Linked DNA regions of Arabidopsis thaliana. The protein of the gene in region 1 interacts with the protein of each later gene in a biochemical or structural test. Each region holds a gene or a part of one and is shown on either strand. Other genes may lie near its edges. The genes, in order: MYA1 and DCP1.

Evidence for each region.
Region 2: the proteins of MYA1 (region 1) and DCP1 form a complex in vitro, tested with the Arabidopsis thaliana proteins (one study listed by BioGRID).

Annotation. Positions count from the first base shown.
Region 1 is NC_003070.9:6,036,997-6,042,283, forward strand, and holds the start of MYA1 (myosin 1), read left to right. Parts: upstream 1-2,253; 5' UTR 2,254-2,456; coding exon 2,457-2,459; intron 2,460-2,838; coding exon 2,839-2,964; intron 2,965-3,582; coding exon 3,583-3,720; intron 3,721-3,827; coding exon 3,828-3,973; intron 3,974-4,062; coding exon 4,063-4,219; intron 4,220-4,308; coding exon 4,309-4,367; intron 4,368-4,572; coding exon 4,573-4,732; intron 4,733-4,837; coding exon 4,838-4,987; intron 4,988-5,074; coding exon 5,075-5,211; intron 5,212-5,287. Other genes in the region: HLL (Ribosomal protein L14p/L23e family protein), read right to left, coding at 639-1,103, 1,209-1,300, 1,545-1,578. UniProt on the Arabidopsis thaliana protein: Myosin heavy chain that is required for the cell cycle-regulated transport of various organelles and proteins for their segregation.
Region 2 is NC_003070.9:2,636,273-2,641,275, forward strand, and holds DCP1 (decapping 1), read left to right. Parts: upstream 1-1,764; 5' UTR 1,765-2,082; coding exon 2,083-2,241; intron 2,242-2,321; coding exon 2,322-2,362; intron 2,363-2,449; coding exon 2,450-2,499; intron 2,500-2,634; coding exon 2,635-2,779; intron 2,780-2,980; coding exon 2,981-3,037; intron 3,038-3,188; coding exon 3,189-3,303; intron 3,304-3,493; coding exon 3,494-3,973; intron 3,974-4,038; coding exon 4,039-4,095; 3' UTR 4,096-4,391; downstream 4,392-5,003. Other genes in the region: AT1G08360 (Ribosomal protein L1p/L10e family), read left to right, coding at 376-595, 815-980, 1,163-1,422; PSAO (photosystem I subunit O), read right to left, coding at 4,732-5,002.

The DNA.
Region 1 (5,287 bases):
AAAAATTTCCACAAGTTTACATAAAAATAAGAAGTGAAATGTTGGGGGGAAGAAGAATTAAGACCTTGATGCATAGCTGAAGTCCATTCCTTTTTCTCATGGACTTGAATGTGTATGTTTGTTATGTATAAGAAGAATAGAGAAGAAATGTTTTTACTTTGGAGTCTTGTAGGTGGATATGTTGTTGTAATATTGGAGATGTGGCTTAAGGAATTGTAACTGAAATTTATGTCACATTCACCTTAATACTTTTCTGTAATCTATTATATATAAATACTTGTTGTGAAAGAGTTATTATTGTCTTTTCTATTGTTATTGTTATACAACAGGTAATATTGATTCCAAAGTGTTTAATGAGGGATGCTGTATCAAACATGAAAACTAAGTGAAGGGTTTGGAGAAGGATGGTTGTTTAAAGCTATTTCCCCTGCTTTTTTTACTAAGAGAGTAGAGTTTAACAATTAAAAGAAACCTAAATAAGAGATCATAATTGGTACGTTAAGGTTTCATAATTCATTAGAATTAACAAAAATAATGAGTTGGATAGTTGAAGAATCAACAGAAACCCAAGTGATGAATGGATCAAAGAGAGTCACATAAAGGAGATCATAACTGATGTTTTAGTGTGGTGTATTGTCTCAAACAATGTGCTGAGCCAAAGAAAGGATCTTGAGCTGTTTCCTGAGGCGCATCTCGTGCGGGACAGGACCAAACACTCGGGTACCAGTCGGTTGGTTGTACTCCATTTTCCTCTTGGAACCATGTGAATTATTCTGCCCTTTCTTTTCCTTAATGCCAACAACTACAATGGCATTGTCATCAAACTTGACTTGGCTTCCATCAGCACGTCCTTTAGGCATCGCAGCACGCACAACCACACCGTACACGACCATCCCTTTCTTCACTTTACCTTTTGGGATAGCGTCTTTCTTTACTTTTTTTTGAACAATTGGGTTAGCTTCTTTCACTGAACCAACAATGATATCGCCAAGTCTTGCTCCTTTCTTACCTCTCAGGGATTGAATGCACATCACCTCTTTAGCACACGAGTTATCCACGCATTTGAGAATCGTCCCCATTTGAATGAATGTCCTATGTTGTTGCTGTGAATTGGAAATCATCAGGACACACAATTCACAGGTTATACCCCACGAATGCATATGAAGAAAGTTTCATCAAGGACGTATATTTGCGAAAAGAGGCTTGACCTGAGAGAGGATGCTTCCATTCATCATTCCATTGGAGGAGGAATTCATCAAACCAGAGAAAGCATTGCAAAGACCTCCAAGCAATGAACGTCCTACTCATATTGTCGATGAATCATATAACGACATCACCAACAATTAGTGACATTCACAACAAGAACAAAAAAGTTTTAATCTTGAGTCTGCATTTCATGAACCAAAGCAAAGTCCATGACATATCACAAACCCAAAAACTCAAAGCTCATTTCGAAACTTATACTAAATCAATGTTGCAAAAAATCTAATTTTTAAAGAACCAAACTTTATCGAATATAATAATATTAAGAGATGAAAATGTACCTTTGGAGAGCTTGGAAGCTAAAGCTGTCGCCATTTCTGCAATTCAAAAGTTTCGATCTTTAGTGTCGCAGAGAGTGAATGAATCTTGCGATTGCACAAAGACACCAGATTTAGGGTTTAACGTCACACACTCGCTGTCGCAGCGATCATTTGGGCTTGTAATGATTTTACTCATGGATTAAATTATATAGTAAAAAAGTGGTGACGTTGTCAAAAGTAGGCGTGCCGGAGTGGTTATCGGGCATGACTAGAAATCATGTGGGCTTTGCCCGCGCAGGTTCGAATCCTGCCGCCTACGTTTTTCCTTTTTTTTCGTATTTACCTTATTTTCCTACATTTTAAAACCAGGGGCCATAACATTTTTTCCACATGTACTATAACATTTGTTTATCACAAAATCTGAAATTCTTAATTAACAAAAATAAACAATGGTGATGCCCTAATAACAAACATTTCTTTCTTCTTTTTTTTTGCTACGAACTTTTTACTTTTGTTGATTGTTCATGCATTTACAAAGACAAAATCCAAAGTTTCTTAATGTTATGAAAAATTCCTAAATCAAGAAGTTAAACGGCTGAGAAGAGGTTGATCAAGTGGAACAATTCACCGATGCCGTCCATTTTGAAGCTAGCACTGGGACCCACTAGTAATCTGTATCAGACAAGAGACAAAATAAAACCCCCCAAATGGCTTCTCCAAGCGGAGCTCCAACGAAACGCCTTTTTTTTTGAAACTCTCCACCGCGATAAGAGAGAGAGATTACCAAATTCTCACCGGAGAAGAAAAAAGGGCTTTCCTTTCCTGAGATTTCCGGTGAAAAGTCATTGACTTTATCACTCTCAAGTCTCTCCACAAGTTGATTGATTCTGCTCTAATCTCCTCATCTGGGGTCTTTCCCCTCTTGCTATTCAAATGGTAAATTCAAATATATCTCTATACCATTTTATGTTTCTAAGAGATATCTCGGTCTCTTTGCTCAACTGTTTATTTGAAAACTGAAAACCTTGCTTGTTTGTTTCGTTAATGTTGTTGTTGCGTTTGCTTGCTTTACCCCTTTTTGTTTCCTGTATGGAGACGCTAATTCTTGATCTATGGTTGTTTTTACTTCTGAAAGGTTTTGGTTTGACTATGTCTAGCTCAGTTCTAGAAGCTTGCTCTTTGCCTGAATTAAAATCTCGTTTATATAATTTTGCCTAAAGCTGTAAAATAGATGTTATGTGCCCCTTGAACCTGTAAACTCTTTTAGAGGCAATGTATGTTTTTGATGTTGTTAAATGAAATGCAATGGTTGCAGGCTGCTCCAGTCATAATTGTGGGTTCACATGTGTGGGTTGAAGATCCACATTTGGCATGGATAGATGGAGAAGTTACTCGAATAGATGGTATAAACGTTCATGTCAAAACCAAGAAGGGGAAAACCGTAAGTTTCTATAAGGTTACATCTTTATTATTTTACTTCAATCAATGAGCTTGTACGTGGCCTCGACCTTTGGGTTTAGGCTAAAAAAGAGTAGGAATAAGTCCGTTGATAAATTTAGATGTCGATTAATGTTACGTTTTATCTTGGAATGGGATACTGTCATAGTCCCGTTATATCCCTAGATCGGCAGGTTTTTACCTTCTGCATTCAAGGTAGATGTAGGTTATTGTGCTTTTAGTGTTTTGATCAAACCAAGTAACATAATAAATAGAGAAAAATACCTTCAAAGAACGTTTTTGGTATTTACTGAATGTCTTAAGGCAAGTTTATACTCAGAAATATGGAGTGCATAAAATGAAGCTTTCAGGCTTTCTAGTCGGCAGTTATCTTGATATGTTGTGAGAGCTAATTTTATTGAAACCGTTACACGTGATAGGGAAACAGCTTAATGTGATAAGATGCAGCATGAGACGTAAAAACATGATTTACGTTGTCATTTTATATGTTGTTGCACATGATATATTTTCATGATAAGTTCTTTGCTGTCAAGTATAGATGTTCACACTTCCTTGTTGGCCATGGTTCTCCTCACATATCCCCATGTTGTATGGATTTCAGGTTGTGACAAACGTATATTTTCCCAAGGATACTGAAGCTCCATCTGGAGGTGTAGATGACATGACAAAACTTTCATACTTGCATGAGCCTGGAGTCTTACGAAACCTTGAGACAAGATATGAACTTAATGAAATATACGTAAGATATTTTATCCTTTTTTTCTAACATCTCTTACTTTTTGTTGCTGCAAAGGAAATCATTTGGTATAAGCTATGATACTAATAAGTTTTGTGTTACTTCTGTAGACATATACAGGGAATATCCTAATTGCAGTTAATCCATTCCAAAGGCTGCCTCATATTTATGAAACTGATATGATGGAACAATATAAGGGAATTGCACTTGGAGAACTAAGTCCTCATGTTTTTGCAATTGGGGATGCTGCATACAGGTTTGTGCATGTTCACGTCCATCAATTTATCGTACTTCTATCTATTTCGTGAGATAATTTACTGATTTGGTCACGGTGTAAGTTATTAGGGCAATGATTAATGAAGGGAAAAACAATTCGATTTTGGTAAGTGGAGAAAGTGGTGCTGGTAAAACCGAGACGACAAAGATGCTCATGAGGTACCTTGCCTTTTTGGGAGGGAGGTCTGGTGTAGAAGGAAGGACAGTTGAACAGCAAGTCTTAGAGGTTTGTTTATTTTTTTCATGAAAAATGAGGATGATTCCATATATGGCTGTATACAGCTTAATGTGTATATCCCCAATGGCACATTGCAGTCTAATCCAGTTCTCGAAGCATTTGGCAATGCAAAAACTTTACGGAACAACAATTCAAGGTACGTTCTTCATCTTTCCAAATCTGGGGCTTATCAGCTAAGTTCATTAATTAGAAACAGTTCATACTAGGATTTATTCTTAAATGCTTGGTTCCTAAGTTTTTTTTTTTAATGTTGTTAATTGTTCTTCCGATTATGCCTTAAGAAAATCGTATTCATTGTTACTTGACCTTTTTCATTCTTCTTGATGTTACCCACCTCGCAGTCGTTTTGGTAAATTTGTTGAAATCCAATTTGACAAGAATGGAAGGATATCTGGGGCAGCTATTAGGACTTATCTGCTGGAGAGGTCCCGTGTTTGCCAAATCTCAGATCCCGAAAGGAATTACCATTGCTTTTATCTTCTTTGTGCTGCTCCGCCGGAGGTATCTTATAATTTGTTTTCTTCTAATTGACACATTAAGTGCATGTCATCCGATGCTGATATCATACTCATTTTTTTTTCTTCTATTTTCGGGTTTATTTTGCAGGATATAAAGAAGTACAAGCTGGAAAACCCACATAAATTTCATTATCTAAATCAGTCAAGTTGCTATAAGTTGGATGGTGTTGATGATGCTAGTGAATACCTTGAAACCAGACGAGCTATGGATGTAGTTGGAATCAGTAACGAAGAACAGGTCCTGAAACTAATGTGTTAAAGAGGTCAGGTTTCCGTTCTGCTACTTTCATGTTAGAGTCTGACATCCAAAGTAATTTATTTACAGGAGGCAATCTTCAGGGTGGTTGCTGCAATTCTTCATCTTGGTAACATTGATTTTGGAAAGGGGGAAGAGATAGATTCATCTGTCATCAAGGATAAAGATTCCCGAAGTCATCTTAATATGGCGGCAGAGTTACTTATGTATGGTCCTTTTTCTTACTATATTTGAATCTGTTTATCCATTTTCGTTTTAGTGGATTATATATTCGTAGTAAAT
Region 2 (5,003 bases), 3.4 Mb from region 1:
AGAACAATACGTCTCTGAATCGTGATTCAGAGACGTATTGTTCTTCTGTCATATGCAATAAGTTTAATTAGAGAACAATACGTCTCTGAATCGTGATTGTTTTTTGGATGTGCGTTATTGATAGCTTTATGATGTTAATAGTCTAGGATTGACACGAAGTTGTTCTGCAGTTTTGCATAAATGCTCTTTACTAAGGCCTCTAAATTTGGATGACAAATCTAAATCTTGCCTCATAAAAATTTAGGTGTATTAAGATAAGATTATTTTGTATGGTAGTGTCTATAATGTGGGTTGTTCATGTTGAGGTTGTCAATGTTGTGTATTTTTGTTTGTTTAGTTAATTTGCTTAACTCTGTTCTTTGTGGGTTAATACAGTAAGCTTCAGAGTGAGGCCGTTCGTGAAGCCATCACTACTATCACAGGGAAATCCGAGGCAAAGAAACGTAACTTTGTCGAGACTATTGAGCTCCAGATCGGTCTGAAGAACTATGACCCTCAAAAGGACAAGCGTTTCAGTGGATCTGTCAAGTTACCACATATCCCCCGTCCTAAAATGAAGATCTGCATGCTCGGAGATGCCCAGCATGTTGAAGAGGTGATATATCTTTTCATGGAAATTGATCATTTTGTGCTCTGTTTCTTGTATAATGGTTTTGTGCTCATTTCATTTGGTGGCTCTATTAGTTTCATTTGATGTTGTATATGTCTTCTGAATGTAGATGCATGATGTTTTCGGAATTTGGTCATTGTTTATTTAGGCTTCATTTCTTGCATAATTAAATATTTGCTTATTTCATCTTGTATCTTTTCGTAGGCTGAGAAGATGGGGTTGGAAAACATGGATGTTGAGTCTCTAAAAAAGCTTAACAAGAACAAGAAACTCGTCAAGAAGCTTGCAAAGAAATACCATGCTTTCTTGGCCTCTGAGTCTGTCATTAAGCAGATTCCTCGTCTTCTTGGTCCTGGTCTTAACAAGGCAGGCAAGTTCTGGCTACAGCTAATATTCCATTGTTCTTCTTTACATCCGTTTTGATTTTGGATAGGTTTTAGTAGTCTATTTCTTTTGTCAATGTCTTTTTGATACAATGCCAATCCTTTATCCTGTGAGATTATGCTTCTTTGATGATTCTTAAGTAACATTCCTTTGCTTTACTTTACACAGGAAAATTCCCAACTCTTGTGAGCCACCAGGAATCCTTGGAGTCAAAGGTGAATGAAACAAAGGCAACAGTGAAGTTCCAGCTGAAGAAGGTTCTGTGCATGGGAGTTGCAGTTGGTAACCTTTCAATGGAAGAGAAGCAGATCTTTCAGAATGTGCAGATGAGCGTCAACTTCCTCGTCTCGCTATTGAAGAAGAACTGGCAAAATGTCAGGTGTTTGTACCTCAAGAGCACAATGGGACCACCACAAAGAATCTTCTGAGCTTTCACCTACTTAAAATTGGTGGCTATAAGACACTTCTTCTTACCCTTTCGTTTTTGTTTCAGACATATCTGTTAAACAGTGTAAGAGTTGTGCTGCTACTCTCCTCTTTAGCTTTTGGTTTGGATAATTTGAAATAACTGCAGTGATTTTGGTTAATGGATTTTGTAGCTTATATTATCTTTGAATTAGATGTGCTTATTTCAAAGACGAATCAATCCACAGATGTGAATAAAAACAGAAATTTTCGTTTTCAATTTGAAAATTGTCCTCGTGGACTGTTCCATAACCAAATTCTATTGACTATGCAGTAATTGATCTTTGAATTAAAAGGATCAACCCACTGATTATACTCCAATTGAATAAATATTCTTCTTTAATGTTGTTTATAATCTCTTAAGCAAGCTCTAATGATGTATTTTTGAAGCAAACTCTAATGCTTTTATGGTCAGTATATTTATTCTCTTAAGTTTTATAACTAAATTACCATTTTTTTTTGCCAAAGCAGACAACAAAATAGCGAAGTGCGTTCCAAAAGTTAGCGTTTTCGTCTCCGTCCCCAAATCTCTCAGCTACCTTAAATCAGAATTCTAGGGTTCTTCCGATTAGGGTAAAATCGAATCCAGATTTCCCAAAATTCTGATCTTTGATTTATAAAAGATGTCTCAAAACGGGAAGATAATCCCAAATCTGGACCAAAACAGTACGAGGCTCCTCAATCTCACAGTTCTCCAGCGGATCGATCCATACATCGAGGAAATCCTCATCACAGCCGCTCATGTCACTTTCTATGAATTCAACATTGAGCTCAGCCAATGGGTTAGTCTCAATCAATCTTCGATTACATAATTTGATGTTTGCTTCCCTACCTAATGATTGATCTGTCTTTTGTCATTCAGAGTCGTAAGGACGTTGAAGGATCTTTGTTTGTTGTCAAAAGGTTACTACTTTCGATCTTTAACTATGTGTATCTTATCTTTAATCGTCTTCTCAAATCTGATTGGATCCTTTTTTTTGTTTCTTTCAGAAGTACACAACCTCGATTTCAGTTTATTGTGATGAATCGTCGTAATACAGGTCAGGATTTATTCAAATAAAGTTGGTGTGTGTCATGTGTCTAGAAAAGGTTTAGATTTAGTAATATATTGCAAGTTCTTATTTAAGGATTCAGTATTAGTAATCATCAGTGTGTTGCTGTATTTGTCTGGATAGATAATCTGGTGGAGAATCTCCTGGGAGATTTTGAGTATGAAGTACAAGGTCCATATTTACTTTACCGTAATGCATCTCAAGAAGTAAATGGCATTTGGTTCTACAATAAACGTGAATGCGAGGAGGTAGCAACTCTTTTCAACAGGTATGTATATATAAGTCACTGCATATCAGGTAGAAACTGTTGGTTTCAATTGTTGGATCATGAATAATATCAATATCGTCTTTTATTTGCCTATTATCAGACAGTTACTTGTTGGCAAATATAATGTTCTTGTATATTTGTATGAACTTGAAATTACTCTTACTCGTTGTATCTCTGCCTAATGGTTCCTTGGCATGACAGAATACTCAGTGCATATTCCAAGGTTAACCAGAAGCCAAAGGCCTCATCTTCAAAGAGGTAATATTTTCATGATTAGATTTAGTTAGTACACCATTAGTTGTTTCTTGGATGTGTTTTCTTTGAGGTGGAAACTTGATAATCTAAATCATTTTTCCCGCTGTTATATCTCTTACTTGTTAAATTAAGTTAGATTTTCTATGTACTGCAGTGAGTTTGAGGAATTGGAAGCTAAGCCTACAATGGCAGTTATGGATGGTCCTCTTGAACCATCATCAACTGCTAGGGATGCCCCTGATGATCCTGCTTTTGTCAACTTCTTTAGCGTAAGTTTCTAAAGCTTCTGTTACACACTCACACTATCATCTTCACCATGACAGCATCTTATACGACTAATGGCAGGAGGGCTTTCTATTAGTTCTAGCCTTCTAGGTTCTTGAATTATCTTCAGCGTAGTATATGGTCCAACTTAGACTCCTCAAATTGTAACACTGAATTTATCTAAATTGTTGACAGTCAACGATGAATCTTGGGAACACTGCGAGTGGGTCAGCAAGTGGACCTTACCAATCATCAGCGATTCCTCACCAACCTCACCAGCCTCACCAACCCACCATTGCTCCTCCTGTAGCGGCAGCAGCACCTCCACAGATACAATCACCACCGCCTCTACAATCCTCCTCTCCTCTGATGACTCTCTTTGACAACAACCCTGAAGTTATCAGCAGCAACTCCAACATTCACACAGATTTGGTGACGCCGTCTTTCTTTGGCCCCCCACGAATGATGGCACAGCCACACCTCATTCCTGGTGTATCTATGCCCACTGCTCCTCCTCTCAATCCTAATAATGCGAGTCACCAGCAGCGGTCATATGGTACTCCGGTGCTCCAGCCTTTCCCACCCCCAACTCCACCACCATCACTCGCTCCTGCACCCACTGGTCCGGTTATCAGCAGAGACAAAGTGAAGGAAGCCCTTTTATCCCTGTTGCAGGTTCGTCCTTTACCACATCACTTTATTTGAGCTGCTGTGCAAACCTAACGAGTTGCTTTTGACAGGAGGATGAATTCATTGACAAGATTACCCGAACTTTACAAAATGCACTTCAACAATGAAGCTGCGCTGGTCAGCATCTACGTGTGGGATAGTGGCTGTTTGATCTAGAATGTGTAGTTAAAATGTAGTTTTGTTCCCTCTGAAAGTGTTGTTGGAACCTTATAAGATACTGCACTGCCCCCTTTGTTTAACTCTTGGAATTACTTTTTCATTTTATCTACTTTCAAGTTTTTACCTTTCCTCATCAATTTTTGTTTCGTAGTCGAAAGACATGTTAAAGACTTTAGATTCACAAATCTTCATGCATGTTTAGAGTTTATTGGAACATATACACATCAAGATTAATACAAAAAACATGAAAGAGTAAGAAGAAAGAGAGATAATTTTTCTATTTTTTAAAAGATTCGAGATTGCAAGACAAAAACTGTTTGTATGGTTCAAGTCAAAGACGTATTGTGATGTTTCGTTTTGAAGTATTATCCCAATCTTTTGTGAGCTTTCCCTCGAGAAACGCTTTTAACATTTAATACTTTAGTTAGACTGACAGACATTCTTAAAATCAAGATCATATAAGAAAGACTTGTCGAGATATAGAATGAAACATCAAATAGCAAAGAAAGCTTTGTTTTGATTGATAATATTACACATAACCAAGAGAGAGCATATAGTACAAACGAAAACAAGAATAGTTATCCTTAGAAGTAATCTTCAGTCCTGCCCTTGAATCCGATTTGTCCGAAAGTGAGGCAGAGGAAGAGGCCTAAGTGCCACGTAACCAACCACAACCAGAACTGTGAAGTGAGAGCTGGAGGAGTCGGGAAGTGAGCGAGCTCAGTTCCGATGCTATCGAAGAAGAGACCCGTCAGGCTCTTCCCATTTATCGCTGGAATGCTCGACGGAGCTAGCCATCCGATCAGCCCAAATCCTACCACGTTCAAATCTCTCCTCAACCAGTTCCTCTCAAAGC